Linked DNA regions of Caenorhabditis elegans. The protein of the gene in region 1 interacts with the protein of each later gene in a pairwise test. Each region holds a gene or a part of one and is shown on either strand. Other genes may lie near its edges.

What was found.
Region 2: the proteins of blmp-1 (region 1) and zip-7 interact in a two-hybrid assay, tested with the Caenorhabditis elegans proteins (one large-scale study listed by BioGRID).
Region 3: the proteins of blmp-1 (region 1) and nhr-114 interact in a two-hybrid assay, tested with the Caenorhabditis elegans proteins (one large-scale study listed by BioGRID).
Region 4: the proteins of blmp-1 (region 1) and sem-2 interact in a two-hybrid assay, tested with the Caenorhabditis elegans proteins (one large-scale study listed by BioGRID).

Annotation. Positions count from the first base shown.
Region 1 is NC_003279.8:10,406,249-10,416,037, forward strand, and holds blmp-1 (B lymphocyte-induced maturation protein 1 homolog), read left to right. Parts: upstream 1-3,053; 5' UTR 3,054-3,110; coding exon 3,111-3,288; intron 3,289-3,621; coding exon 3,622-3,716; intron 3,717-3,977; coding exon 3,978-4,845; intron 4,846-5,355; coding exon 5,356-5,702; intron 5,703-6,084; coding exon 6,085-6,179; intron 6,180-6,229; coding exon 6,230-6,698; intron 6,699-7,113; coding exon 7,114-7,161; intron 7,162-7,244; coding exon 7,245-7,598; 3' UTR 7,599-8,525; downstream 8,526-9,789. UniProt on the Caenorhabditis elegans protein: Transcription factor which binds to enhancer elements in the promoter region of genes. Regulates the expression of the transcription factor bed-3 to control vulval development.
Region 2 is NC_003282.8:16,501,427-16,508,383, reverse strand, and holds zip-7 (BZIP domain-containing protein), read left to right. Parts: upstream 1-2,701; 5' UTR 2,702-2,714; coding exon 2,715-2,831; intron 2,832-2,934; coding exon 2,935-3,129; intron 3,130-4,146; coding exon 4,147-4,254; intron 4,255-4,793; coding exon 4,794-4,931; 3' UTR 4,932-5,474; downstream 5,475-6,957. Other genes in the region: Y51H4A.935 (uncharacterized protein), read left to right, coding at 1,221-1,232, 1,288-1,422, 1,729-1,764.
Region 3 is NC_003283.11:4,184,954-4,191,950, forward strand, and holds nhr-114 (Nuclear hormone receptor 114), read left to right. Parts: upstream 1-2,249; 5' UTR 2,250-2,255; coding exon 2,256-2,439; intron 2,440-2,653; coding exon 2,654-2,856; intron 2,857-3,054; coding exon 3,055-3,393; intron 3,394-3,448; coding exon 3,449-3,579; intron 3,580-3,655; coding exon 3,656-3,777; intron 3,778-3,829; coding exon 3,830-3,944; exon of another isoform or gene 3,945-4,057; intron 4,058-4,748; coding exon 4,749-4,911; 3' UTR 4,912-5,051; downstream 5,052-6,997. Other genes in the region: Y45G5AM.9 (Aftiphilin clathrin-binding box domain-containing protein), read right to left, coding at 1-122, 5,063-5,194, 6,331-6,555. UniProt on the Caenorhabditis elegans protein: Probable transcription factor which may have a role in detoxifying dietary metabolites arising from bacterial tryptophan metabolism.
Region 4 is NC_003279.8:5,202,713-5,210,857, forward strand, and holds sem-2 (Transcription factor sem-2), read right to left. Parts: upstream 5,417-8,145; 5' UTR 5,410-5,416; coding exon 5,209-5,409; intron 4,872-5,208; coding exon 4,608-4,871; intron 4,089-4,607; coding exon 3,681-4,088; intron 3,633-3,680; coding exon 3,519-3,632; intron 2,825-3,518; coding exon 2,597-2,824; 3' UTR 1,818-2,596; downstream 1-1,817. Other genes in the region: osr-1 (TPR_REGION domain-containing protein), read right to left, coding at 1-89, 142-459, 649-694. UniProt on the Caenorhabditis elegans protein: Probable transcription factor required for embryogenesis, vulval development and cell fate specification of the postembryonic mesoderm (also known as the M lineage).

The DNA.
Region 1 (9,789 bases):
TTTTACCACCCATGAGAAGAAGAAGAAGACGTAGTAGTTGTTGTAGAAGATCTTCGAGAGAGAAAAGACATTGTACAACAACTTGACCCCCAAAAATTGTGTTGAACAGCAGCAGCCAGTGCCCTAAAGAAAGAAGGTGAAGGAAAGAAAAGGAAAATAAAAACGAAATGAAGATGAGATTCTCAGGATGATGAGGGCAGGAAGAAGAAGGTGTTATAATAATTATTGAATGAGGGAGAGAGACCTGTCAATTTGAAGAAATTTAATGAGAATTTCCTTGACACAGGCAGCAATAATTGATTGAATTTGGGATTGTTTGTTCAAGGATTTGAGAAATTTCAGAAATACGTTCCATTTAGTCTCGGTGATGCCTATTAACTAAATATCTGTCTTCACGGCGACCCACCCATGCCTACTGCCAAACTATGTGCACTTTTATTCCAATAATTAATTAATGAGTGAATTCACATTGTCCAAACAACGAAATCCGGAGTTAAGAATTAAAATAAGCGGTAGGCAGGCGCGCAAGCAAGTAGACATCAGGTAGTTATGCACTCCAGGTGACGTGGAAAAGTTATGGAACTTAAAGTTAGGATATCTGAGACATTTTTTTTTCTTGCCTGACATTGGTTGGTTTTATCACCGATCTATAGTATTGGAGCACGACGGTGACACCTTACATCTTACAAGCATCGTTTCAGAGTAACAAAATTTAAGACATCCTGCCAAAACATTTTCGATCTAATCCATAAATTGACAGCACTTTTTGCTCCTAGAACCTTAGAAAAATTCACGACTTTCGTGGTAATTTATTATGCCGTCACAATTCTAAAGATTCCTTTCTGGTCAGCTACAAATTATGACATCAACCAAAAACTCTGAAACTGGTATTATCATTCACCTGACGAATGTCTTTGAAGTTCCGAATTGCATCCCTTTTACCAGATTCTGGATCGAGTTAAGTACAGTATCTAGAAATCTAATTCAAGTAAACCCTGCCATTTCCACCACGCAAAGCTGTTTTGTTTTGAATGTTCAGTTTCTAAAACCGTACACATTTCCCTTCTCTCTGCTTCAGGCCTTTCAATTTCCCTAATAGCCATTCGAATGCCAAAAGAAACCAAAAGCTTTTGCCCCCTCTCCGACGGCGCGTTCCCTTCTTTTCTCCTTCTTCCAACAAACATTGGCTAAAAGAGACGATCCTCTCCTCGAATCACTTTGGCGGATCTCTACAGGCCCGATATGCAAGAACAGGTTCAAGGGGAAGAAGAAGCCTCTCTGTGTCGTCGTCGTCGTCGTCCAGCAGCGTCCATTATGCAAGAGAGTGCGCGAACAAATGGGGGGAAACCGGTCCCTTTCTCTGATTCTCTGATCCTCTCTTCAATCAGTGATCTCTCTTTGCTGTGTACAGCCATACCTCACACTCTTCGGAAGAGAAGAAGACCACCGTCGAATCCGAATCCATGGATGAATGGTCGTTGCGCGCGCGCGAGCGACAATTCTCGGGCGGCGTCATGACTGACCGTGACTCTGCATCTCTGAAATTTCAATACTATTTATTATCCTTTTCTACCGTAATCCATTCTCTCACTCTCTTTGCTTCCAATTCGTCCCATCCAACAGTAGTAGCAGCAGCTATTTTCTCGCTTTTCCCCCTTTTGTACAAACTCTTATTATTCATCTCCTCCTTTTTATGAACGATCTTCCTTTACAATTTTTTTAGTACATTTCAAATTTGATTTCATATTTGCCAAGCTACCGTATTCTTTTCCCAAATCCCCACATTTTTTTGTTTGAAAGTTGTCGGCTCCTTTTCTGAATTCTGAATCACACGTGTTTCAAATGAAAAAGACAAACAGATCTGACCCCGCCTCGCTCTTTTTCTTCTAAACTTTTAACTTTTTTTTCTCACCCGTCACTTTTTTTGAAAGTTGCCAATTTAGGTTTTTTATACAAGCTCTGGAATTTGTGCCCGCGGTGATGGGAATTTTCGAGGTTTATGAACAAAAATTATGTGAACAAGCTTGAATTTTTCTGAAATATTAAAACAATCTTCAAATGAACTTGTTTGGTTTTCAGTTCTCCGGCACATATTCCTGAGCAACTCCCGTAGGCTTGAAATTAAAAAATTAAGTTTTTTCAAACTTAGCCAATTGTTTTAGTTTTTATTGTTTAATACGAATTATTGGGAGTATCTAAAGCAATTTGATGCAAAATCCCCACAAGTCATAGTCCGTCTTTAAGGGTATTCCCTATATTAGTATTAAATCGGACTGCTCACCTTTTCAGCTAATATCTTGGTTTTTTGTTTAGATATCCGAAATTGCACAACTGCAGAAATATTGAAAATTAGTCCGCAAATGTTTTTATAGTTGACAGTTTTTTGATACAACTAAAGAGAACCGAGATATAAGCCGCGAAAGTTGAGCAACGAGGTTACTTGTTGGATCGACAATATGCATACCGTATTCCCTTGACATCTTAAAAAAGTTTCAATTCAGAAGCTCAACTCTGAAATTAACTTGGAATTGAAAAAAATTGAGCTATTGAACTACTGCCTCTTCAGATTTTTCTTGAGACGTTGACGCCTGACTTATGCCTGTCTACCTCTTATATTCTGTAATTTAGGTTTTCGTTCAGTTCTTGTTGACTTTTTCAGTAGGCAGTATTGAAGATAGGTAGGCAGGCGCACATCCCGGACGCCTTAATAAGTTCCTCCTTTAAAAAAAACATTAATCTATTATTGCACAACCTCCCATCATCTAACCCACCTACCGTAATCACCAACTTTCCCTTTTTGCTCTTCTTAACTCTGCACTCTCCTCGGTCACCCAGCTATTTCACCCCAATTCTTCGAGTTCTTCCTTATCAAGGTCTTTTTGACAATTTCGGCGCCGTTTTCCTGATTCTCGCCCTCGCCTTTTCCCTCTCCGTGCTCTATTACTCTCTCGCTCTTGTTTTGAAACTTTTATTTGAATTGGTTCACTTTTAATTTGTCTTTCTTTTTGCCAAAAATTATTTTTATTTTACCAGAATCATGTTTTCAATTTCAGAAAATAAATCTCTCTTCTCTTTTCCTTCGATCTCATTTTAAACAAAACCTGTAAAAAATGGGTCAAGGAAGTGGGGATGACGGTGTTCCGCCGGCACCGTTCTCTTCGGCTGCTGCGGCAGCTCACTCACCACCTCATTCTCCCCTTTCTGTCGGCGTTTCTTCTGCTTCATCTGCCACGTCATCATCTTCCACACCGCCATCATCCACGTCACCTGCCGGAGTTTCAGCGTCAGGTAAGTTGTGATAGGATACTGTAACTCGGCCCCCTTGGCAGCCATCCGTGATCTACATTTGCGAAGAAATCGAATCAGCCAAATTCGTTTTTCTTCCCTCCACTTCTTTTTTTTCCTTTTCGGATTTCTTATCAAATTTCAATGCCGCCAAGCTTATCATCGCCGCGCTATCACTTATCATCAAAATGTTCTTTTCCCTCTTGAACTAGACGTGGACACCATATAAAAAAGAACAAATGAAAGTGAAAACAAAAAAAACAATCACTTCAAAATTTAAACCGAAAGAAAAAACTGTGAAGCTGTCATTTTATACAATGAACATTTTAATTTCAGGTGCGAGAAACGTTGAAACTGATTGGAAGCAGTCGGGAGATGAGAATCTTGCCGAATTATGTATATTTCATGTTCCAGACAAATCTGTTAGTTTGGTGAGTTCGTATTTTATAGTCTATAAAGTTTTAAAAACCGAGCCTGCCTGCCTACATGTATATTTCTCTAAAAAAATGGTTTTGGAACAAAAAGTTCTCTAGAAATTTGGAAAGTTCAAAACGTTCCATAGAAAGTTTGAGATGTGCACTAAAAAGTTGCTTTTTTGCCGACCGTTTTTTTGCCAGGACTACAAAAATAGTATGAGAAAGTTAATATACATCGAAAAAAACCATTTCAATTTTAATTCCATTTATTTTCAGCCAAATCCAAAGCGAGCAGAATGCACACTTCCTATGAACCTAATTCTCAAGTCCTCCTCAAAAAATCGAAAGAAATCGTCAATATGGTCATCTGATCATATTCCGAGAGGAGTCCGATTTGGCCCGCTCGTTGGAGAAATTCGTTTGGTAGATGTTGACACAGCACTTGTATGTCCTGCTGAAGCATCAATGGCTGGAGGTGGTCCAGCTCAAGAAGATGTTCCATTTGATGAAGCTCCGGAAGAGTGGAAGATCTATTCTCCATCAGGTGGCAGATTGAATAAAACGATTTGTGTGAAAGATGATGCGAGATCAAATTGGATGAAATACGTGGCAGCTGCTGAAGAGGAAGATTTTCAGAATCTTGTTGCTGCACAAATTGGAAATGATATCTACTTTTACACAGTTAAAAAGATTGAAGCAAATACTGAATTATCATTTTGGTTCAGCAGGGACTACGCAAGGAAATTAAATTATTCAACAAGACCATACGTAAGAGTTCGAAGGCCAGCTACTCAACTGATTCCATCTGCACCACCAGCTTCTGCATCAACTGCAATTGCGAGTTTAGCAGAAACAATTGTGGCAATTGATTATTCAGTTAAAAAACTCATTGAATCACCCATTGATACACTCTCTACTGATGCTTCTTCTGCAAGTGACGAAGAAATGATTGATGTTGAAGAGCAGGAGAGCTGTACACGGCCTGTTGCAGAAGTCACACGGCCTAATGTTATCCAGAATCCAGTTGTGAGGCCTGTTGCAACCAAAGTCAATAATTTCCCGGGAATACCCGTTCGACTTGGCAATTTTTATGCAAGTCCGTTGGTGGATTTTAAAGAGTTCATGAGGAAATCCCTTCAATTAAGTGAGTTTATTAATCCCACTCTGAATCTCTGATAAGCTGAAATTGAAAATTTTGAAAATGTAACACTTTTTTTTGAAGTTTTTTTCACTGGAGATGCAAAAAGTTGCTTAACATTTTGTTAACAAAACTTATCAGAAACAGCTAAAAACGCCATATGTCCTTGATGGGGATTAAGCTTCTGTCGACAAACAAGATACATTTGTATACTTTTTTTTTGTTTTTAACACATCAACTTAAGTTTAACAATATTTTCAGTTTGTTAAAATTGTTTCCTCAATCAATTAAATTATCAAATTGTTTATGCTTTACTATACTTTTTAATTAGTGATCTACCTGTTTTCGGATTTTCGGCAGCTTTTATCCCGTGCGGATGTGGTTTTATCAACGGAAAAGTTTTCAAAATACATGTTGTATGTTTATTCATAATTTTATAGCTTACTGTTAACTGCTAAGTTAAAAACAAACTGGGGCGTCCTAAAAAGTCCTGAAAACAATTGAACCCTATTTCAGAACTAGTTGATACCTCAATGTTTGTGTCCCCTGTTGCTCAAACAACAGCCGCAATAACTGCCACTGGTGGAAGATCCGGCCAGCCGATTGATGTGCAGCCAGTACTTGCAGCAACTGCAGGAGCTCATTTTGGAAACTATGCAGCAATTTATGGGAGTCAAGATTTCCAGCATGAGCTATCAAAACCTCTGTACACATCTGCGTCTCCAGCATTCGGAGGTGGTGGTGGTATGGGTGGAGGATTTGGAATGGGTGGAAGTGCCCATACTTCTTCATTTCATCAACTTCCATTTGTTAATCATTCGTCTTCATCACACAATGATTCATCATTTAATGGAGTTCCAAATGTAAGTTTTACCAAAGAAGATTTTTAATTTGTTGAACTTGATGGTTGATGGGAAAATATTTTGAAACATTCTTTTTAAAAAACAGTTGATATTTAAATGTTTAATACTAGATTTTTTAATTTTTTTAAATTATATATTTTTTATAATTTTTGACCCTGCCTCTATTTATCTCTACCTTTTATCTCTACCTTTTCTATGTTGATCCCAATAAAATTAGCAAAGTTTTGATACATAAATCAATTGATTACCGGGTGCTTTTTTGTAAATCTTTTTCAAATCAGGGCGCAAGGAGGGCGATTCACACGCCTAGACCTGGTAAAATGTCTAGTTATTCCTTTTCATATTTTCTACATGAAAATAAATTTAAATTAAAATTTTTCAGTACGTGCAACAACAGGAAAATGGAAAAACGAGATACGCTTGCAAAGACTGCAACAAAACATTCGGACAGCTTTCGAATCTTAAAGTTCATGTCAGGTTAGAACTTTTCTTATTTTCCAATTATTTTTTTACTTTCAACATTTCAGAACGCACACCGGCGAACGTCCATTCAAATGTGAAATTTGCACAAAAGAGTTCACACAGCTTGCTCATCTTCAGAAGCATCATCTTGTTCATACCGGAGAACGTCCTCATCGCTGTGATATTTGTGATAAGCGATTCTCGTCGACTTCTAATTTAAAAACTCATCTTCGACTTCACAATGGTCAGAAGCCGTATACGTGTGATGTTTGTGATGCCAAGTTCACTCAATACGTTCATCTAAGACTTCATAAACGTCTGCATGCAAACGAAAGACCGTATAGTTGTGGAACATGTGGAAAGAAATATATTTCACCGAGTGGATTGAGAACTCATTGGAAAACAACTACATGTAAAGAAGAGGATATGAAAGACTCGATGAGGGATGATTTAATGGATATCAAAGGCGAAATCGATGAAGGATCAATGTCAGGGTCGGGTTATGGAAATCTGGGAATCTTTGAAAATACACTGGTAAGTAATGAAGATTATATCGAGTTATACATGTTCCGCCGTTTTTTACAAAATGGAAACTAAGTTTTAAAAAGTTGATCAAATTTTTAATACTGTCCAAGTTTAAGTCGACAACGTTTCCTCTAATAGTATTGACCCACTTTTCCTAACTTTGTAAGTTCATATCTTAGTTGCCTATGGTTTTATCGAAAAATTTCTAACTGAGAAAATATTGAATTTGTGAAACATTTGGAAAAATATCTTTAGTGGACCGAGATATGAGATGTCAAAGTAGAGTAAGTGGGCGCAAGACTAATAGAAGAAATACGGTCGTGAATAAATTTTTTTGCTCGAGTTTTAGTTTTCGAGCTTTAGAAGAAATCAAGTAAATTACTAACAACAGCTTTGCTTCTGCTTACATTTTCACTGCTTTCAGAACTCCGAACTCAAGCGGCCACTTATGCCAATCGAAACCATTTATAGTGTAAGCTTTTATATTCGGCTTCATCATGCATACAAATAAATATTTCTTATCTCACTTTCCCATTCTCATCCTACAATTTTCAGAAATACAATCTTCCCAACGCCTCCCTCCTCGGTCAAGGTCCAAGTGGAATGCAAGAACAACAGGCTCCACCACCAACATCTCAACAGCAGCAACACATGATGTATGGAAACACAATGGGACATATGGGACAAGGATCCCATCTTCAGGGGCCACCACCACCTCCACAACATTTCCAAATGGATCATAGTGGAATGCAGAATGGAGGAGGTATTCCACATCAACATCAACTTATTCAAGGAGGTCCATCATCTGGATCTGGTCAACAGCAACATCCACAACATAATGGGATTCATAGGCTTCCTGATTTGAAAAATCCCCTACTTCCAAGCCTCGGATTGCCGCATTATCCATAATTATCATATTTATAACTTTATGAAAACACTACCCGTCTCCCACAATCCAGTCATATCATTTGTACTTGAGCTTCTGTGTAGGAATTAATGCCTCCACTGCGTGCCTCACAGCACTGCCTATTTTGGTAGAATAACGCAAATTTCATCTGAAAAAAGTTAATGTGAGAATGTAGATATAGAAAGATGTTTGTTAAGTTCGAAAATTCATTTTATTTCTATATCCGGATATTTTTCTATATTTTAACATTAATTTTTTATTGAAAAAATAATTTAACCAAAATTAGCAGTTTTTGGAGTGCCTGTAGGCAGGCGTGTAGGCATTTTATACCTACACAAGAGCCCCTGCTTGCTTCTCCAGCATCTTAGCATTTTCATTTTTTACTATGCTACTCAAATATTTTCAGATCCCTTTTACCAGTTTGTTTATAAGCCAGGTAGAAAACAATTAGATCAATTTTTTTCGCAAAATCTCAAATTGTTCTTACACCTTCCTGCCCCTTTCTCCATCCTCCCATTCCAGAACGAGTCTCTCATAATATTAATTGTATTCAAAAACTTCAAATTCAAATAATTCCACAAAGAACCTGAGTTAAAGTTCAAATAGTTCGTTTCTCAAAATTATCAGATTTAATATAATTATTTTTTTGAAATCTTCCATATACACCGCCTAAACCTATATTATCTTTTCATTCTCTCATTGTCTCTTGCTTTATCAGTCCCCTTTCATTCTTATCACTGTCAAAATTTTCTATTTTTTATTCAACAATTTCCATCAAAATCTTCCGGCATTTCAACACACCTATCTGTGATCATACTTTCATTATATTTTTGCAATTTCTTTCTAGAAGTTGTTTCTATTTTCTAACTTTTTCAAAACAATATCTTGTCTAATTTTGTATGTATATATATAAACTTTGAAAACTTGATAGGATTACATACATACTAATTTTCTCGAAAATTTCCGGCAAATCGGCAAACCGGTGAGGTGCCAAATTTGCCGGAAAAACGGCAAATCGGTAAGTTGCCACAATTGAAATTTCCGGCAAATCGGCAAACCGGCAAAGTGCCGAATTTGTCGAAATTGAAAATTTCCAGCAAATCGGCAAATCGGTAAGTTGCCAGAATTGAAATTTCCGGCAAATCGGCAAATTGACGGAATTGAAATTTCCCGATTTGCCGTAATTGAAAATTTCCGGCAAATCGGCAAACCGGCAACTTGCCGGAATTGAAATTTCCCGATTTGCCGTAATTGAAAATTTCCGGCAAATCGGCAAACCGGCAACTTGCCGGAATTGAAATTTCCCGATTTGCCGGAATTGAAACTTCCGGCAAATCGGCAAACCGACAGCTTGCCGGAATTGAAATTTCCCGATTTGCCGAAATTGAAATTTCCGGCAAATCGGCAAACCGGCAAAGTGCCGAATTTGTCGAAATTGAAAATTTCCAGCAAATCGGCAAATCGGCAAGTTGCCAGAATTGAAATTTCCGGCAAATCGGTAAATTGACGGAATTGAAATTTCCAGCAAATCGGCAAATCGGCAAATTGCCAGAATTGAAATTTCCGGCAAATCGGCAAATTGACGGAATTGAAATTTCCCGATTTGCCGTAATTGAAAATTTCCGGCAAATCGGCAAACCGGCAACTTGCCGGAATTGAAATTTCCCGAATTGGCGTAATTGAAATTTCCGGCAAATCCGCAAACCGGCAACTTGCCGGAATTGAAATTTCCCGATTTGCCGAAATTGAAATTTCTGGCAAATCGGCAGACAGGCGAAATGCCGAACTTGTCGAAATTGATAATTTCCAGCAAATCGGCAAATCGCAAATTGCCAGAATTGAAATTTCCGGCAAATCGGCAAATTGACGGAATTGAAATTTCCCGATTTGCCGTAATTGAAAATTTCCGGCAAATCGGCAAACGCAGCTTGCCGGAATTGAAATTTCCCGATTTGCCAGAATTGAAATTTCCGGCAAATCGGCAAAACGCAGCTTGCCGGAATTGAAATTTCCCGATTTGCCGTAATTGAAAATTTCCGGCAAATCGGCAAACGCAACTTGCCGGAATTGAAATTTCCCGATTTGCCGGAATTGAAACTTCGGCAAACGCAGCTTGGCCGGAATTGAAATTTCCAGCAAATCGGCAAATCGGCAAATTGCCAGAATTGAAATTTCCGGCAAATCGGCAAATTG
Region 2 (6,957 bases), on another chromosome or scaffold:
ATTGTTTCTCGCCTCCAAATTTTCATCTTCGAAACGGAAAATTGTTTTTGGAATTAAAAAAAAAACACTATTATAACAAGATTTTCCATTCAAAAGTATAAAAACTATCTGAAATAGTGGAAAATTGGGGAAAAATAATAATTTATAATAACGAGATTAACAAGATTTTTAGATTTCAATCACAACACATTATGTAAAGATACCATTCGATTATTTTGAAACTACCTGAAACAGTAAAAATTGGGAAAAAAGTACCGACGGATAATAAAACGATCAGTGGCATGGCAACTGTTCTCCATATCCCATAAGATTCTTTAAGAATTACCGCAAAGCACCTGAGAAGTTGTAAATCGGTAATTGAGTTGTAAAATGCATGACACTTCAGGGGGTGGCAGAAATATAGAGAGATAGAGAGCGCAGAGAAACGAGAGTACTCTAGCTTCTCTGCGTTCTCTCAGTCCAAAATGTGGTCAGCTTTAGGTGCGTTGCGGTTGCGTAGCGGTTTTTCAGAAGTGGGTAAAAGTCGGGATTGACGGGAAAGTTACTGTGCAATAGAAAAACAAAATTGGGCTTCAAAGCGTTGCGGTCGCGTCGCGGTTTTTCTGGCAAGCATGCAAGTTTTCAAAATTCTTAAATATTTAATAAATTCCGGTTCCTAAAAATAGTTTTTTAGCTTATTCTAATTGTCAATTTAAAATTTAAAAATATCTTAAAAACTAAAAAAGCTATTGAAAAATCGCTAACCACAAAATTATAGAAAATTAAATTTTCCACAAATTCGCAGTTGACAACTTTTTCCAAATTTATCCGGAACCAAGATAGACGTATTAGAAGTTGGTAGTGGCCGAGGTTTTTCACCTCCACGGCCACAAGGCCAACACCCCCCAACTCATTATACCCCCGTGGTCCTAATGTGGTAACGCAATAATCTGTGTGTGCGTATGTTCAAGTACACATACCCCAAAAACTTGCGTAATTTCTTTGAATTTACCGCTATTCTGACATACGGAAATTTGAATATTATCGGGGGAAACGCGTGAAAACGTATTGAATGGAAAAAAATGTTGAAAATAATTTTAATTTTTTCGTGAAACTGGGAAATAATTTTCAAAAAAAACGTGTTTTTTTTTCAAAGTCGCCAACTAAAAATCAATAATCGAAAAAATCAGTTTCGAATTTTGTTTAAAAATTCCATTCCACTGAAACGAAGAAGAAGCCAAATGATTGCACAAGTCAGTTTAAGCCTGCCTGCCTGCCTGCCTGCAAAAAATGCTCCGAAATTTACAGCTCGTGCTTCCAATTCTTGTGATTTTCGGATCTCTGGTGATGAATTGTGGCGGAAAGAAGAAGAAGTCAGCAAATTCTCCGGAAGGAACAAATAAATCAAAGTTAGGGGCTCCAAAGGAGAAGAAGGATGAAACTGTGAGTTGTGTGACCGCGACGCGACCGCAACGCGACCGCAACGCATTGTTTAATTAATTTTGCTGATTTGGGATACGTACCACAGGTTTCTGCCTTCCCTCCTATTCTGAAATGTAAGAGTTTTGCCGAACTAGGCCATTTTGGCTCAGTAGATTTACGGGGCGTTGCGTGTCGCGTCGCGGCTCGGATTTGTCCGTGTGAAGTACACGACACTTTCCCACGCGTTGTCCGGCAGGCGATTGTCAATAGAGCGCGAATAATGCAATGAGGAAGGTCCTACTTTTAAAGAAACAATTCTGATTTCAGGAAGGCAACTACGAGGAGCTCGCCGTGCCACAATAATTTTCAGGATTCTCATTTTTCACTTGAATAAACCAGTTTTATTGGGATTTTTGTGTTAATTTTTGAATTTTTGAATTGGTGCCTGTTTCATGTGAAGCATTTAACAAGTGGAATTTACAAGGGAAAATTGTTAGCAAGTTGAAGTACGAGCGTTTTTTACAGAAGAAGTAGTATCTCCTCAGCCATTGTAGCTATCAAAAAGTTGTCAACTGGGAAAATATTTATAAATTTATGTTGAACATTTTTTTAGTTGGCAACTTTTCACTAGCTCCGATACTTTTTCAGTTATGGTAGTTTTTCGCGCAAAACTCCAACTAAAATTACCGATTTTTAAGTTTGAAGGCTTATATCTCCTTAGCTATTGAAGTTATCAAAAAGATTTTAACTATGAAAATATTGCAAAATTGATTTTAAACATTTTGTTGGTTGACAACTTTTTATTAGCTCTTACACTTTTCAAGTTATGCCCAGTTTTCCCCACGGAACTCCAAGACATGCCCACCTATTGCCACCTCGTTATACATTTAGGACCACCACCAATCTCTTTTGCGGTACATTATTCAACTAACAGCAGACGGTAGTTAGTTAGTTAGAGAACAACGACGCAACGATTGCGCCATTACAGTTCAAATCATCATAAAAAGAGCCGCCCGTCTTTAGAGACCCCGTGGGCAAATGGGGGAGGAGGCGGGTCTAGTAGGGCCTGTAGAGGTGTCCTGTTTGCGTGCAGACTTTTTCTCAGCATGCGGTAGCTCATAAGTTCCGGTGTAATAGTTTGGTAACTGTTGAGTAATACGGTTTTGGTTTTGAAAATTTAAAAAAAATTCTGTTTCAAAAAAATTTGTTTTATTATAATTTTTTTCAACTTATTACTGTGTTCTTTGGAAGCTTTTTCCTAAATTTCTAGCCATTTTCCACCAATTCTCCACCAATTTCCAGATTATTTCCAGATGATGACAGACATTCAACAGCAGCTGGCTGCCTCGAGAATGTGTGATTCGGATTCTATAAAGGCATTCAATCAGATGTACGCACAGAATCCGTATGGAGCAGGAGCTTTTGATAAGGTTTGTAATTTTTTTTGGAATTTTTCTGAAATTTGAAAAAGTAAAAAAATTTTTTTACTGTTTCAAAAATGCTTTTTAACAAAAAATTAAATTTTTTTCTTAGAACTACTCCGCAGCCACTGCTCTCCCATTTTTTGCTCAACATTTCGCGCCATACGCGAATCCCCATGCCACGTCATCTTTTTCCCCGTCATCGTCTTCCACGTCATCCACCACGTCGTCTCAAAATCAGCAGAGTGGCAGCAGTGGGAGTAAGAAGAAAAAACCGGTTCCGGTGCCGGAAAATCAAAAGGATGAGGTAAGAGATTAAATGGCCGAGAAATGAGAAAACTCGGCCACCAGAAAAAAACGGCCGATCTGCTAGTGTTAGATGTGGCCGAGAAAAAATGGCGGCCGAGGTTTCCTGGATTCCTTCTGCCACAGGGTTCTGGTTTTCCTCATTGAATGTTTCGCGCTCCATTGACAATCGCCCGCCGGACAACGAGTGGGAGAGTGTCGTGTACTCCACACGGACAAATCCGAGCCGCGACGCGACACGCAATGCGACGTAAATCTATCCCAGATATGGCCGAGCCAAAATGGCCTAGTTCTGCAAACTCTTCCATTTCAATTTATGAGGCCAGAAAACCGTGTTCTGCTATGAAAATTGAACTGTTTTTTTTAATTTCCGCTGGTTTTCAAAGTGGTGGCCGAGTTTTTTCTCTAATTTCACTGCCACGAAGTTGAAAAATTGATTTTTTTAAACTGAAAATAGAGTTTTTTTCTGATTTTTCAGTGAAAAAACGTTATTTTGGACCAATTTTGCTGATTTTTCTCGTATTTTGCATTTAAATCGAGATAAGTTGACAATTTTAATGTAAAATACAAAAAAAATCAGCAAAAAAGATCCAAAATAAAGTTTTTTAGCCGTATTTTTCTTAAAAAGGCGTATGAATTAAAAAGTCGTATGAATTTAAAAAGTCGTATGAATTAATAGCTAGCCACGTGTCGATTTACGGAGGCCGTGTACTCCTCGTGGAGTTGATTTCTCTGGGTTTTCGTTTGAAAAAAGTATTTTTATGCCAATTTTGCTGATTTTTCTTGTATTTAACGTTTGAATCGGCAATTTTTGAGTTAAAAACTATAAATTATGTCATAAAATGACAATTTACCATCAAAATCCAACAAAAATCAGTGAAAATTGGCCAAAATCAAGCTTTTCAGCCGTTTTTTTTTCTTCAAAAAACCAGTGTAAACTCTTCCACGAGGAGTACACGAGCTCCGTAAATCGACAGCTAATAGTCCAAAATCCTCTCGAATAAATCCAATTTTCCAGGCCTATCTCGACCGGCGCCGCCGAAACAACGAAGCCGCCCGTAAATCCAGAGAATCTCGCAAGAAAGTCGATCAGGACAATAGTGTTCGTGTAACATATTTGGAGAGGGTACGTTTTCAAAATTTCCCATAGATAATAATCCTTTGCATCATTTTTTTTGGCGGGTTTTTTTTTCCAAAAAAGGGCTTAATTGATGACGTCATCAGTCAACAGGTGTCAGCCTGGCTACGCAATAACTTTGAGAACGCGCCCACGCCGACTTTTCCCAATTTTTCAATAAATTTCGGGAATATCAGATGGCTTTTTGTAGATAACCGACACTTTTAAAAGTACTTTTTGATAGTTTTGCAAACGCGCTCTAGTGCACACGTACAGTAACGTTTGTTCCCTTAATGGTGTTCCACTTTTCGATATGTTCACCAAGAATGGTGTTGGAAAGATTTGTTGGTTTGGAGCAGTAGGTAGTGGACGCAGTTCGGTGTGAGCACTCGTTGGATCAATTCCAGGGAGTGGCTTTTCTTTTTTGTTTCGTTAAAGTTTAACTTTACTTTTTTTTCGGACTAAAAATAAAGAGTAACTCTGATAAAAGGCTTAGTTCTGACGGCATAAAATTTTTATCAATCAATTAATAATTATTTTTTCTCCAGGAAAATCAATGCTTGCGAGTCTACGTCCAACAGCTCCAACTACAAAACGAATCGATGAGACAACATTTGCTCCTGCAAAATCCGGGCACTATAGACACTATGGACCCGATTGCCATGGCGAATATGCCGAGTTATTAAGCTTCTCCCCTCCCACACAAAATCATCTCATTCTTGCACACACATTCAAATCCTTGCTTCTGTATCGAATTTCCACACACCACCCTCTCATTGCGTCACTTTTTTTTTGTAATTTTCTGTAAAAATATAGCTATTTTTGAAGAAAAATGCATTTTTTCAAAAAAAATAAATGAGCGACTACGGTAAGCAATTCCGAGTCTGCAAACACCGTCACGGCAGAATGCACAGAAAAACTCATTTTCAAATTATTTTTCGCTCAGTTTTCGCTAATTTCTCCGAATTTTCGCGTTTTTTCTTTAATTTTTGTTAGTTTTTGATTGTATTTTGTCGATTTTTCACTCTTCGAAGCTGTACCGACTGTAATTTGACACTTTCCGCACGAAAAAATGAGAAAAATCTCAGAAAATAGGTGTATTCAGATTTTTCCCCATTTTCCTCCGATTTTCTGGGCATTTTCTGGGCATGTTTTTCAAGCTAAATTCGCTGATTTTCGAGCTAAAGCAACTTTAAAATCCAAATTCTCTAATAATAAAACAGTTTTTCAGCTTACTCGACTTTTTCCCGGAAATTTCTGAATTTTGCTCATTTTCCGAGGTATTCGTGGATTTTCCTCCCGCTTTTGACCAGAATTAATGCTGAAATTCAATTTTTCAGCTAATTGTACCCTAAAATTGGACGGAAAAATGATTTTTCCATTATTTTCCCGGCAAAGCATCACCTGAGTGATTTTTACTACTTTTTCGACGGAATATATAACGTTTTCAGTAATTTCTCGTTAAATTTCCCAAAAAACTCGTTCAAAATGCTGGAAAAAGTCGAAAAAACTCGAAATTCCAAGAAAAACCAGTTTTGAATATTTTCCCGGGGGGTACGGTAGATTTCGTCGTGTGCAAACACCGTCACGGCAAATTGCACAGAAAAACTCATTTTCAAATTATTTTTCGCTCGTTTTCTCTGATTTTCTGCATTTTTTCATTTTTTCTATAGCTTTTTCATGATTTTTTCGGGTCTAAACATCTAAAAATCACTAAAATTGCATAATTCCGCCGATTTTTCAGCGCTTAGAATGCATTTTTCAGCAGGAAAGGAAGAAAATTGATTGATTTCCGTTAATTTTAGTTTCCAGATCACTTTTTGTGAGAATCGTTCGCTTCGGACTCCGATTTTCTCGTAAAAACCGCCGAAAAAGCCTTAAAAAAATGGAAAAATGTGTTTCTCGTCGTCCACAATATTTCAACAATAAAACTAAGCGGAAAACAAGAGAAAATTAAGGATTTCGCTCTCTCCACTGCATTTACGAGCGAGAAAAACCAATTTTTAAGCTGGAAAACGTGTGGAGACGCAGAGAAAACGGGCGCCCTCTCGATTTCTTTCTCTATTTCTCTCTCTCTGTCTGTTCGCTCAAATTTATGGGCAGTCGACATGCAATGGAATGGCAAAATGGATGGGAGCCGCGGCTTGACCGCAACGCGTCTGTCTCCGTGCGGCGCGGTCGCCTGTTTTTTTCCTATTATTTCCATTTTCTGCTTATCAGCTCCGTCCGTTATTCGCTTATCAGGAGAGTTCTAAATTATCACTTTTCGAGAGAAGTTTTTCGTTTTTTTGGTTGCAAGTTGTGTGCGTTTTCGTGCTGGGAAACGTTTTTTTTCCCATTTTTCGCCGTATTTCCAGGGGAAATTGTGATTTTCACACATTTTAACTTTGAATTTTCATAATTCCGGTGCATAGTCCAATCCCGGTCGTTTTCCATTCCATTTCGCAGGGAAATTGCTCAAATTTGACCAAAAAAACATCGAAATTTGAGTGAAATTTTCATTTTTGATGGAATTCCTGCATTTTCGCCGTATTTCAAGAGGAAACTGTGAATTAAAGCTAGATTTAAGCTAATAATCCAATTTCCCTGGTATTCTATGCCTTGAAAAAGTCAATTTTGACAGTAAAGGCTGGAATTTCCACTTTTTTAATGCATTTCAGCCAATTTTCCTATCTTTAGTAGGAAAAAAGGCTGCATTTCTGCATTCTTCCC
Region 3 (6,997 bases), on another chromosome or scaffold:
CTACTTTCAGTCCGATCTGTTGAAGGCCGAGCCTGATCAAATGCTCCCCAATCGTCATCATCATCGTCGTCTTCGTTATTGAAACCATCCATTTTCAACGATGGAGGCGGCGATTGAGGTCTCTGAAAAAGGAAACATATTTTGGTCGAAACTTTCATTTTGGATATGAAATTTTGTTTTAAAAAGTTGCACGTGGGGTCAGAAAGTCCCATTTCGCTTTGATCTACAAAAAATGCGGGAGGTGAGACGCAGACATCTCAACTGATTTCGCATGGTTAAGAGTGTGCTGACGTCACAATTTTTCTGGGAAAAAAATCGCGCATTTTTTGTAGATCAAACCGCAATGAGACTTTCTGACACTACGTGAAGTTGGATTTTTGCAATCTTCCGCGATTTTTTTTTCATTTTGTTTGTGATTTTTTAAAGAAATTTAGGACAATTTTGGATTTTTGCAAAAAGTCGCTTTGAAGTCTGAATAAAAGCATTTTCGGCGTATCCTGCGCGCATGGGTCTCGCCACGCTGACATCGAAAAAAAAAATTCTGAGAATGCTGCGTATTGTGCAACACATTTGCCGCGCAAAATATCTCGCAGCGAAAAAGAAAACTACAGTAATCGTTTAAATGGCTACTGTAGTGCTTTTGTGTCGATTTACGGGAGATCGATTCTTTAATTAAATTCTTCTTTTCAAATATTACCGGTACAGAGAGTGTAGATAGTTGAATGGACACAGACATTCCGGAACCCAAGGGGCGGGGCGCGGGAAGAGACGATTTTTGTCGATTTACGGAGTGTTTTTATTCACAAACTCTCCGTAAATCCATACAAATCGGCTCTTCCCGCAACCTTGGGTTCCGGAATATCTGTGTCCATTCAACTTTCCTCATTCTCTGGACCGGCAATATTCGAAAAGAAGAATTCATTTCAAAAATCGAGCTCGTAAATCGACACAGAAGCACTACAGAAGTCATTTAAACGATTACTGTAGTCTTCTTTTTCGCTACGAGATGTTTTGCGCGTCAAATATGTTATGCAATACGCATTCTCAGAATTTTTTGTACAAATATTGATGTTTTTATTTTAATCATAAGATGGTTAAATTTACCAACAACTAATTCTTAAATTGATTAGCACTTATCAGTGTCTTATCAGCAATCAAATGACCAAAACATCTAATAGGACGAATTTTCGCCTATTTCTCAGCAACTAACAATGCAACTTTCTCATTCTTCATGTCTCCTGTATCATAGACAAATTGATTAGCTCACGTAGTGCCAGACGGTCCCATTACGGTTTGATCTACAAAAAATGCGGAAATTTTCGCCCAAAAAAATGTGTGACGTCAGTACGTTTTTAACCATCCGAAAACAGTTGAGAACTCTGCGTTTCTTCTCACCCGCATTTTTTGTAGATCAACGTAGATCAATCCAAAATGAGACACTCTGCCACCACGTGTAGCTTCTTCTTCTGCTGCTGCTGCTACAGTCTGTGTGTACAAAAGTCTTCTCACATAGTAGGTAGGTGCAGACTTCTTTCTTTATCAAATCTTCCCTTCTTCAACATTACATGGCGTGGTTTTCTCGTGGCATTTTCCAAGAGAGGCTCCACCCCCCCCCCCCCCCCCATCGCATGTACTTTGTTCATTGGTCAAGAAGAATCGTATATAACGGGCAGCGATAACGTCCCAAATCTTTGTCGTATGACGACGGGGACGATCGGAAATTGAGAGGAGGAGGGGGTAGTGTGAAAAATACATGAGGACGCGATGAAGCTGCTGGTCAGCAGCAGGCCCCAAGCCACTGTGTTTTATTGCAAGACAGTTCGATCTTCACGTTGATATCAGACATATATAGAATATACATCTCAAGGTCTTCTATTCTCATTTCTTAGGCAGCCTGTTAATATGTTGATAATGAACAATCATTTGACCGCCCGTTTTTCCGAGTCACTTCATCAAGGACTTGATTTCTTTCCAAAAAAACTTCCAAAACCACCCAGCAAATCATTGTTTCAAAAAAAGTTTGCTCAAATGATTAGAAATCAAAAGTTCAAATGTTTTTTTGCAACAGCTGTCCCTAGCCTGTCTCACATCACAGTTCAATTGTTGTAGTTTACCTCTCCTCTTCTCCTTCATTTTATCTCTAAAACGCATCGATTCGGGGGCACTTTGCATTTGTTATCGTGTCTAGTGTCTCTTGGCATTATTCTCGTTGTCACAAAAAAAACCAATACAAACAAGGCGTATTTCAGGTCAAAATGACACCTCAATCGTCTCCGAGCTCGTCTCGTGATCACGTTTGTCTCGTTTGTCAAGATTTCGCTTCTGGCTACCATTATGGTGTCCCGTCATGTGTCGGATGCAAGACATTTTTCCGGCGAACAATTATGAAGAAACAAAAGTACATTTGCCAATTCGAGGGCAATTGTCCAGTTGATAAAAGTGAGTTATTTAGCACACTTGGTGTCAGGCTGTCCCATTTCGGTTTGATCTACAAGAAATGCGGGGATTTTTCGCCCAAAAAATGTGACGTCAGCACGTTCTTAACCATGCGGAATCAGTTCCGCAATTCTCGTAGATCAAAACGAAATGGGACACTCTGACACCACTTGTTAGCAGTAACAAGGAACTTATAAAAAATATTTCAAAAGTTCAGCTATCCGCTGTGCCTGCCGATACTGCCGATTCGAGAAATGTTTGAGCGTGGGAATGGACCGAAACGCCCTCCAACAAAACCGTGACCCTATCGGATACACAAAACGTACCAGGCGTCCAAAAAAAGAGCTGAAGACTACCTCGGACTGTTCAAGTGACGAAGGAGCAAGCACCCCACCATCAGTGTCTCCATTACAGCTATCGGTAATTAATTAGTCCAATTACGGTTTGATCTACAAAAAATGCGAGAATTTTTTTGCCCAAAAAATGTGTGACGTCAGCACGTTCTCAACCATGCAAAATCAGTTGAGAACTCTGCGTCTCTTTTCCCGCATTTTCTATAGATCTACGTAGATCAAGCCGAAATGAGAAACTCTGACACCACGTGATCCCAAATTACAGCCTCCACCAATCTCGCCACTCCTTTTCCAAGCTGCACCACTGAAACCTCGTCGCTGCATCCTACAAACTCTTGCCGAACGCGAAAAGTGTGCAAATGATCTCCGACTCTCCGAATATCTTCCAATCCGATCTCTCCACGAGGCTCTATGCTCAAAGGCTCTGCTGAACGACACGGCTTTTTTGGAAAAGTGGGGACAGCCGAGTGAGAGACATCAGATCTTCGATCTACGATTCGTCAATCACGACGACTACCACTATTGGCACGAGAGAGACTGGTTCTTGTTGACAGAGTATGCCAAAACATTCGATGTTTTTGAGGCGCTCGATTATCAAGATAAGGTTGGAAGAAAACCAGAAACATGTATAACGATTTAATTATTTCAATCCTTTCCAGGCCGAACTTGTTCGCCATGCCGCAATAACAGTCCCAGTCCTGGTTCAAGTCTGGAACTCCCCGGACTACGGACCAGACACAATTGTATTCCCAGATGGTGCCTACTTCGATCGTACTCCAGAGCCAACCCGGTAAGTTGTCGGTCACATATACTCCAAACCGAGCCCCAATTCCCGTCTCGTTCCGCGTTGTGTTCAATCGTTATAGGCCAGCCGGACTCAACAGGAAAAAGTATCAAATGTTGGATCTCGTGCTCAAGCCGTTCCGTGATCTACAGCTCGACGCAACCGAATTTGCAGCGTTCAAAGCGGTAACGTTTCTGAATCCAGGTCCGGGCGGAATCTCAATAAGAGCCAAACTTTCACTTTGATGCGATTCCAGACGCTGACATCTCTCTACCGGCTCGCAAGCTTGTGAACAACGAACGAGTCCGCATCACCAAGCAGTTATACGGCTACATGGCCATGAAAGACGACGTGGACACGGCAATCGAAAGGTTGGTGAAATCACGTTTTTCCTTCCTTTGATGCATTCATCTATTACTCGCTTGTCGATCAAATCAAACATTGATAGATCACAATTTGATGTGTCTTGTTGCGGACTAGCTAAGTAAGCTAAGTTGGAACACTTTGACCAAAATTTCGGTAAATTCTCTAAATTTTGCTAAATTTTCAAATTTTTGGTAAAATGCTAAAATTTTGGTAAATTCTCAACATTTTGGTAAAATGCTAAAATTTTGGAAAAATTCTCACAATTTTGGGAGGCACCACGGAAACGAGAACATGTGAAAAAGGAGAATTACGAAAAGGAGAACACAAAACCACGCCTATTTATCCGTGCCGAGCGCAAGTTTTTGCATAAACTTGTGCAAATTTTTATTTTCAAACGAGACAACGAAGATCCGAACTAACGAATTCGTGTGATAAACAACACGCGATACGTTCTTTCGGAGCTTCGCGTTATCTCGTTTGAAAATAAAAATTTGCACAAGTTTCTGCAAAAACTTGCGCGCGGCATGGAAAAATGGGCGTGGTTTTGTGTTCTCCTTTTCGTAATTCTCCTTTTTCACATGTTCTCCTTTCGGTGGTGCCTCCAAAAGTTTTGGCAATTTATTAAAAAATTGGCAATTTACCAAAATTTTAAGAATTTACCAAAATTTTGAACATTTCCCAAAATTTAGGCAATTTATCAAAAAATTGGCAATTTATTAAAATTTTGAGAATGTACCAAAAGTTCGGCAATTTACCAAAATTTTTAGCCCCCGGCACTGATAGATCACAATTTCATCCCCGTGTTGCAGATTCGCACGATTGGTTCTGATGGGAACGTCCATGTCAAAAATGGCGTGCGAATCGAAAGAGGCCGTGTGGATTGCAGACTTTTTCGAGAATATCGGCTTCTCGGCGTTTGCCCGGCAACTGTTTTTCGGTGATACGACGAGCGTTGTTGCTCACAAATTGTGAAGTGAATAAATTTAAATTTAATAAATTAATTTCCAGAAATATTTACACGCTTGAAAAAAAATCTCAATGCTAATCCTATTTATATACGTTTATTATTATTTTTTTTTTTTGGTATTTTTTTTGCAATAAAGTTTTAACTTTTTTTTCTTACCGCCTGAATTGGTGCAGCAGCAACAACGGCTTCTCCAAAATCTCCCCACTCATCGTCGTCATCGTCTTCTTCTTTCTGTATTTCCGAATTTTGAAATCCCGTAAATTCGTCCTGTGATAATGCAGTCGTCATCTGAAATTACGGGATTTTTGGGGTAAATTTTTGGCAAAATTAGTTCAATTTTTAGAACATTTTTTGACAAAAAAAATTGATTGCAAATTTTAATTTCAAAATGTTGCATTGCTATTTTAAAGTTGATTGAAGGTTTTTGTTCATAATTCAAAGCAGGGGTCGGGGGCAAACGATTTTTCCGGCAAATCGGCAAACTGACAATTTGTCGAAAATGACATTTTCTGGCAAATCGGCGAAATTGCCGGAATTGAAAATTTCCGGCAAATCGGAACACCGGCAATTTGCCGAAAACGAAAAATTCCGGCAAACCGGCAATTTCCCGAAAACGAAAAATTCCGGCAAACCGGCAATTTCCCGAAAACGAAAAATTCCGGCAAATCGGCAAAACCGGCAATTTTCCACAAATCAAAATTTCCGGCAAACCGGCAATTTACCGAAAATGAAAATTTCCGGCAAACCGGCAATTTGCCAAAAATGAAAATTTCCGGCAAACCGGCAATTTGCCAAAAATCAAAATTTCCGGTAAATCGGCAATTTGCCAAAAATGAAAATTTCCGGCAAACCGGCGATTTGCCAAAAATCAAAATTTCCGGCAAATCCGGATAGGGTTTTCTTCAATTTTTCATTTTGAAACATAATTTCACAATTTTTTTCGGAAATTTTTCCGAAGAAAAAGTTTTTCTACTGTTAAATTATTGATTTTCAGGCCAATTTTAGGATTTTCTTAACTGAAAAATTTCTGTAAAAAATCGAAAATGTCGAAAATGACGTCATTTGCGCGGGAACTTGCACAAAAAAATAATTCAACTCTTTCTACCTATTTTTTTGTTGCAAAACTGAAAAAGTATTTTTAATAAATGTAGGAAAATTCCATAAATTTTTAAACATTTATATTCGGTAATTTGACACTGTTTTATTTCATTTTGGGTACAAAAATGTTTTTTTAAATAGAAAATTGGAGATTTTAAGCTAAAATTAGCCAGTTTTTTAAGAAAATTTTAGAAGTTTTTTTCCCGAAAAATTGGAGATTTTAAGCTAAAATTAGCTAGTTTTATAAGGAAATTTTTGAATTTTTTCGAGAAGTTTCATTACGGAAATCGTTAATTTCAGCATATATATATATATATATTTCTTACCGTATCTCCCTTTTCATTATTATCAGATGCTTCTGGAACAGCTTCATGTCCGGCAGCCATATCCTTCACAGGAGTCACCGACCGACTTCTTGATGCTGATGGAAGCGGTAGGCTCGTCGAGTCGGGCGAATCGTCGACTTCATCGTATTCGTGCTGCTCACTTTTGTCATAGGAATCGTCGACAGCGACGCCGCAGAATGGAGGTGGACCCCCATCGATTTCCATCGATCGGCTGGAAATTTAATCGATTTTGGATGGCAAATTGGTGTGGGAGAGGGATATTGAGAAGAAATTCGAGGCACCACGTTTTCAAAATCTGTTCGCGTCTAGTTTAGGATTTTTTTCGTAGATCTTGAAAATGTAGATCTTGTTTTCGTAGATCTTGTTTTTGAAAAGATCTTGAAAACGTGGTGCCTCATAAATTTCAATAGAAATACAAAAATTGCGTGAAAAATGACTCAAAAACACCGAATTTCATAACGAAACTGTTCAAAAATTGCTCAAAATGTTTTTAATGCCGATTCAAAACTCCGGAAAAAAGTAATTTCACCCAAAAATCCAAAAATTTCGCCATTTTTTCCTTGTTGCCGCGACAAGGAAAAATGGCGAAATTCCAGATTTTAGCAAAAATCGATCGATCGGCTGATGATTTAGAATGGAAAATGGG
Region 4 (8,145 bases), 5.2 Mb from region 1:
TCTCTGCGTTCGGATAGCATCTTCTAATCCACGAATACTGCTACCAATTGGGATTCCATTTCCATTCAACATATCGATAAATGCATTTCCTGAAATTCAAATTTGTTTTCAGAACAGTTACTGAAAAAGTAAAATGAAAACCTGATTTAGGCTGTAATTTTGCCATCTCCGCCTGTTGCATAACTGCATCAGCTGCCAAATCATCAACTTTTAGCTTTTTGTACTTATCGAATTGATCAGGATGTACTTTCTCTAGAACTTCTAATTGAGTCTTAAATGCTCCTTTTGCCATTTCCATTTGACCTTTTTTGATGAGAGCATCAACAAATTGAACACCCATCAGTTCAAGAGCTTCCATTGATGGAGCCAGTGGTAGTTTTTGATGGCTTTTACCTACGAGAGATGACAACAAAGCTCCCGGAGCATCGGAAGTCGATGGAGATTGGGCCGATAATGGTGCTGGAAATTTTCTAAATATTTTCCCTTTTTTCAATTTTTCCTCATAAATCATCACTTAAAAAAATGTTAGGATATCACAAAAAGTTCAGCCAAAGTATTTGATAAATTGCCAAATTTTTTAAAGTTTCTGATTTTTTTTGAAACATAAATTTAACAATGTAATCTCTAAATATTGAATTTAAAACTAACCGATACAAAATCCTAACAACAGGAATAAAAATAAAAATAAAATCATTTTCGAATCTTTTACGAAAGTGAAATAAATAAAATGAAAATGCGAAAGAGAAAATCTTTTGAAAGGGAGAAGTCGTGGAACTGGATGAAAACAAGAATGAATTGATAAGAATGGCTAACGACGAGAATATCACCTTCTGACATAGGTGAACCTTCGGATGAAACTTGTTTCTTGGGTGGGAGAGGAAGGATTTGTTACATCAGCATAGCTTTCATGGATCATCAATGCGTTTCGATTTGTTTTTAAGGGTTTGTTTTTTTAATTCATGTAATCAGGATGTTTATACAGTATTGACTCTGTTGGTCTTGCTTGCAATTCGATCATTATGTAGGAGTGCTACTGAATCCCTTTCCCGACTTAAAAAACAACTCGGTTCGTCTTTTTTTTTGCAATTCAAACAAAAAAAACGGTCGTGCGCCGGTCGCGTGTTCGAGATGCCAATCTTAGAATTTACCCGGTTCGTTTGACGACCGTTAACGTCGTTGGAGGTCGGTGTGATTTAGTAATTTAGAAGAACTTTTTGAAGATTTTGAGTTGCGATAAATTGGGGAAAAGAACTTTCGAAATGTCGGAAATTGATGTCCAATATTTGGAACGAAAGATAAAATAAAGAAAAAAAGAGAAAAAGAAACATGCCGACAAGTTGAGGTTGTGAAGGACGGATGATAGAATGCACTATTTATTTGAAGGTTGTTTTTTTTTCAAAGCTGTTGGAGCCAAAAACAGGGTGTGACTTTTTAAAGCAGGTTTCAGAAAAGTGCCAAAATTCCGAGAATGACATTGCAAAAAAAAACAAGAGGTTCCAGAAAAGCGGCTTCCCGACTGCTCGGTTATTGCAGTATTCACGGAGCAATTGTTCTACCAGCACAAAAATTGATTTCAGGCCAGGATTGAACTGTTATGTTAAATTGTAATATGTCATACATATTTTACGAGACTGTTTACGAGACATTATTTAGGGAAGTTTTTTCAATTTGTGTCACACACTTGCCGCAGCTGCCAATAACTAATTAATAGTAGAAAATTGCTAGGTATTTACCTGAATTTTAATTTACAGAACAGAAAAAATTAATTAAACGTATATTATTTCCACAAATCTATGTATTTTGAAATCAAAAACAAGTTAATTTTTTAAATGATTTTTATTGCTCAGAAAAAGGAGACAAACATAAATCAATCAATAATAAATGAAATCAAGAGGAAGAAATTCATTCAATACTGAAAATTTGGAAAGATGAGTGAAAAAGGATAAGAGATATTTAGAGATGAACAAGAGAATAAATATTTCTTCAGGTTTGGGAAAAAGGGTAGCTACATTTGGCATATTGTAGAGGGCAGGGGATGGGGGGAAGTGTTCAACATATACAATCATAATTTCGTGCTTGAAATCTCAGAAATTTTTTTTTTCAAGTACAACGGCGAATTGGGTAATCGATGAAAGTTGAAAGAACGAATGAAAACTGGCTCGGTAAAGCTGGGAGAGGATAAAAATGGGTAAAGAAATGGGGACGATACTTTTGTAGAAGAATACTTTCAATTTGAAATTAGTGAATTACTTTTTGGATTTGTAGAAATACTCTTAGGGTTTCAAGAAATGAAAGAATACAATCGCTTGGATTTGTTGAGGAAATACTGGAAAACAAAGAGAAAAATACAGAAAAAGGTGGTAAATAACTAGAAAATGCTGGGGATTAAAAGGTACTAAGACCGGACTAAAGGGACACTCGAAAATTGTTGGAGAGAGATAAAGAGAGAATTGTTTCAGGGGAGAGGCTAGAATTGAGGTAGGAGCAGAAAATGTTGGGCTTTCAGAAGAAACAGTGAAAAAAAACATTTGGACGTAGCGATCTACTTACTACCCGAACTTTCAGAAGTTTTCAAAAAAAAACTTGTCTGAAATATTCAAGAAAAATTAATATCAATTCCCAATGCATCGCTCCATGGATAATTGACCAGCTCGCCTGTGGTTACAGTTGGACAAATCTGCTCCAGGTCATCCAAATGTGTTGTAGTCGTAGCGGCCGTAGCCATTGTGACGACTCCCGCCGAGTTTGGTGATGACGTTGATTGTTCAGAAGCACTACAGTCGGCGTATCCCGAAGATCCAGACGATAGACTACGCATGTCGTCCTGAAACTCATGAGTTTTGAACATTTCATGAGGATATTGTGCTGGTGGTGTTGAAGTTGGTGCTGGTGATGGTGCGAAGTGGTACATGTTATAAAGATTATGATTCTGAATCATTGGGTTAGGTATCTGAAGGAAAACAAGCGGTTATTAGGATGTTAAGCATGGATGCTGGGAAGGGATTGTAGTGGAAAATGGAGTACGGTAGGATTTACGCTAAAAGGACTAATAATATAAATTTTCAAAATCCAATGGCCAGTACTAAGAATTTTATGATTTAAATGTTTTTCAATATAAAAGATGAAATATCGACAATGTATTAGAAACTACTTAATCCACTTCAGAAAAATTCAAAAATTTTTGAACTTTTTTTAAAATTTACAGTCAACGGGTTTTAAGTACTAAACCTAAGTAAAAATTGAATCACAAGTAAGTGTTTCTATAAATTCTAAGGGCTCGAACAATTTCTCATAAAGTTAAATTTCTTCGGAAATTTGATAATTTGCAAAACTTTGATTGAAAATTTTGACAAATATAAAGTATTTTGAGTGATTAATTATTTTCTTTAAGATAAAATTCCCCACCTTTCAGAAAATAAAATTTGGCAATTTTCTAAATTTTTAGCCACTACATCCTACCGTACTCCCAAACAAAAAGTGCTTCAAACAAAATCTCATGCAAAAGAGACAACCCGTACCTGATCAACTGATGGTGGTGAAGTGTGCAAGTAGAAAGGATGATTACCAGCTCCAAATCCCGAATTATGCCCCATCATTTGTGGTGGCATTCCCATGTCCATACCAAGATTCGTCTGAAAATATTGAATTTTCCAAGCATTTCGTGATCTATAAAAACTAACCATTCTGAGGGGACTTCCTGCCGAATTATGATGTTGTGATGCAAAATGCTGTTGATGATGTTGCTGTGTAAAATAGTCATCATAAAATCCAGATTCAGGTGTCAACGGAGCATGTCCAAACTCGGAAGGTGATGGATACGATGGATGAAATGGCATCTTTTGTGCATGACTCATATGAGCATTTCCCATCCAATCTTGCTCCACTTTCACTGATTTAAAGTTTTGGAATTGTTGTGTTTCTGACTGTTGATCTGTGTTTGGACGTTTTCGTTGACGAGCCTGTGGTGATGCTCCACGTGGTGGGGCCTGTTGCTGTTGTGGAGCTTGGGGTTGAGCTGGCTGCTGAAGTGTTCCATCTGGATTCTTCTTTGGCTTCTTGCGTGGCTTGTATTTGTAGTCTGGATATTCCTGAAAAAATTTAAAATTACAATACAATTATTCGAAAAATCCGGTTACAGTATTTCCTGTGTGGCACAGAGGTAAGCTACTATTTGAATATTCTAAAATTTGATAATTTGGCAGTTGCCAAAAACGTCGAATATTTAAAAATTTCTGAGATTCGGAAAATCACCAAAAATAAAATATTGGAATTTTTAGTTTTTAATGAAAAGCTTATATTGTTTCACCTACCTCCTACACTGACTATAGTAGAAATTTGTTTTTCGTTCAAAATTCAAATTTTTTTTTCAAATTATTCTCTTTTTTTTTAACTTTTTTGAACTCGATAATTGTCGTATTTTTGAATTTCCGAAAATGCCGATTACGGAAAACTTTTGATTGGTATGAAGCCTCTATTATCAGCACAATACGTTTTGAAATTATTTAGTGAAAATACACTTGTTCAAAAATTATTACTGTATTTCTTACTTATATAGAAAATTCGGTATCAATATTGAATTGAATTAAACTATATTCTCCCATACTAACCTGCATATGACAAACTCTGAGTCTCTCAGCTTCAGCAACAAATGGAGCTTTTTCCTCATCAGTCAAACTTCTCCAACGACTTCCCAATTGCTTACTGATTTCTGCATTATGCATATCTGGCTGATGCTCACAAATCTTTCTCCGTTCCATTTGAGACCAAACCATAAAAGCGTTCATTGGTCGCTTGATGTGATTTGATGACTTTTTGCAATTTGTTGCATCCGAATACGGGGTCACTGATTTGGGAATCGCTTGTTGTGCATGCTGAAAATGTATGGATTTGTTTCAGAGCAATTTTTAATTTTTTGGTACTTCTAGGTTGAGAACATTTCTAAAAGTGCAAATGTCAAGTAACTGATAAGAAAAGAGTTTTCAAATTTGTTGCTCTTCCACTCTAGAAGTTTCAAAAAATAAGATAACAAGATGACCAGTGCAAAGTATCATGTTTTTTGTTTTTACTAAATTTATTACCTTGTTTACTAAAAAATTATTACAAAAAGGGCTGTGTCCACTTCCTGATGTCCTTTTGACAGCTTATCACTTATCAAAGTGTAAAGCCCATTGTTTCAATATTTACAACCAAAAAAACCGTATCACAAACCTTATAGCCTCCAGCTGCTGTCCCATATGGATGATGTTGTAATTGTTGTGACGTGGCAACCGAGTTAGACGATGTGGCATTTGTGGCTCCAGAAGTCGATGAGGCTACTGCAATTGCGGCCGCAGCCCAGTTAATCGGCGGCATCATATGCGGAGCCATTCCACAATCCAGCATGAAGTTGGGCGGTTTTTGGAGATCCATTTGATATCTGAAATAAAAAGTAATACGAAAAATAATATTGTTGAAACGGAAAGTGGAAAAATTAAAAGAGAAAGGTAAGAGAAAGTGAAATTCAGGAGACCGAATTTCGGCAGAAAATATAGGGAAAATCCAAAAAGAACGAGAGTTAGAGAGAATAAGAGATTCAAAGATGTCTACGATCCGTTTCCATGAGAGATTTCTACGAGGAGATAGACAAGGTGGCGTTCAGTGTATCTTTAGTACAGTATACTTTAGGATACAAGTATACGGTAGAATCTACCAAGAGTATACTTTTCCAAAAAGAAACGTAACCAACTATACAATTAGAAACTTTCAAGTAATAGTAAAGCAGGGTTCTAGTTGCCGGTCACTTGCTTACTGATAAGAGCCAGCACTGATAATTTTTTCCTGGAGAAAAGCTGGAACATGTGCAAAAGTATGGAAAAGGAGAGAGACGGCAAGAAAGGAAAAAATTCAAAATAAGAACTTAAATATCAACAATCATGACTACCACGATTCTAGCTGGATAAGTTAATTAGCAAATGACCGTAGGAGCTTAATCTATTCAATTTTTGATGATAAGCCTGACTGATTCTTCTTCGAGATGATCAGGTCAAACTGCCTTTCTGTCTCATTTTCATTTCTCTCTCTCTCTCTCGAGAAAAGGGATGTTGTACAACCCAATGACAAGAGTGATGACATAACAATACAACACAATAGAATAAGGGGGAGAAGCATCAGAAAACTGGTATTTTTAGAAAGGGGCAAAAACGAAGTAGGAGAATGAAGCAGAAGCTGTGTACTTCGAGAGTGCGGTAGTGAGGCTTCTCGCATGATGTAATGGTTTGACATTTGGTAATTGTAATTGGCATTGGCCAAACGAGATGATGTACTACTACTGTGTGTATATGTACGGTAGATTGGCATGTCATGAGAGAAATGGTTTGGAAATGGAAGTTTTCAGAGAGCAAAAGGTTTGACACATTTAGAGAGCATTCATCTTGGAAACCCAAGTACAGAAAGTGAAACAATACTATATAGAAAAGAATATCAAAAAGGGTGCCAAGAAAACAGAAATGAGAAAAACTAAATGGTAACAAGTATATCTTCCTCCTTACAACCACCGCCTCCCGTCCTGAAAAAGGCGTGTCTAGACCGCCTCTACGGCACTTTGCAAAGGACCACGAGGTGCCAAGTTATTTGCGGCAGAGTTCCGAAAGGAGGCAAGTAACTTGGTACATTGAGGTGGCTAGATTGCATGGGAAATTGGATAAACAAGAATTTTGGGATGAGTTAGACATGAAACTCAACTATTGAAATTCTGAATATAACAAAGATAATTGTATTTCCAATGAGAAATAAGCAAGGTATCTAGACAAACATAGATTTCTAATTCTAATAGATTCTTAAATGAACTGAAAAAAGGTGGCTTATATTTTTGATGCATACTTTGGTATTTTTTGGAACATTTCAAAATCTCTGACCGTGAAAAACCTTGCCATGTTCGATATCAAAAAAGTAACAACAAAATATTGGGTTAACTTTAACTGAAGAAACTCTCAAATATGCTTATTTCTAAAGAAAAGAGCTCCTAACTTTTGCCTACACAGTTAATTTGTCATGCTTTCAGCAGGTACCTCATAGACATTACGATGCACGATGTACAGATCGTCAACGAAGTCGGGCACTATATGCACATGGCGACTCTAAAACAGTCAAAATATGTGCCCAACGATATCGAAAGTTATGTGCAATTCTGCTAGACTAGCACACTCCAAACTAAAACCTATGATCAAGTGGTTACTTGATAACTACAGTAACCTTGATCCTTCTTCGAAACCAGCTTTTCCTTCTCCTCATCTCATTTAGCGTTCACTCTCGAATGAATCATGACTTCTGCCCCCTTACACCTTTCCTCCAAAAAAACTGTATTATGTAACTTTTTGGAGGTAGAAAAGAGGAAAAGTGTTCACAGTCTCGACGCTCGGTGATGCCTTCAGCTTCTGATGCGCAGAAGGAGAGAGAGAGAATCGCAAATCGGCAGAATTTGGAACCGGTTCTCAACTCAGGAAGGGGCAAAAGAGGGGGCAGAAGAGGTGAAAGTGTCTCGAGATCATCGAGAGGAAGACGGCTACTGACTTGAAGAAATGAGAGGAAGGAGGGAAAGCTGTCTTGTATTACAACAGCAACAAAAAACAGTTTCAGATACAAGAGAACATAACACTGAAATTTTTTTAGAGAAGGGAGGTCACGATATTGGTCAACAATCTCTTTGAATAAAATTACAAAAAATTAGATTTTCAGACATCAAAGCATAGAACGTTTCAAAAAATTGATTTCTAATTTTACCAAGTATTTACAATCATGCCTCAAAAAACTTTAAAACTCACTAAAAAGCTAAATGCAGTTTTAATTGACTATTTAATCAAAACTACAAAATCCAAAAATTTGGTACATCTTCAAAAGTATACTAAACATTAAAAAAAAAACCTTTGCAAGGCGGCAAGATGACAAATGGGAGTGTATGGTACCAACTTGCCGGTGTCTTTTACATAGGATATCGATTAGTAAATATCGGCTCAAGAGAGGGCACGAGGCGGGAAAAAAGGTGAGAAGACGGCAAACGTGGAGATGTCTAGTGAGGTAAAAATCTATTATTGACTGTTATTTGTCACTTGTGAAATTATCTGAAAAACTATATACATAATTCTAAAGTTTCGGATATATCTATAATTA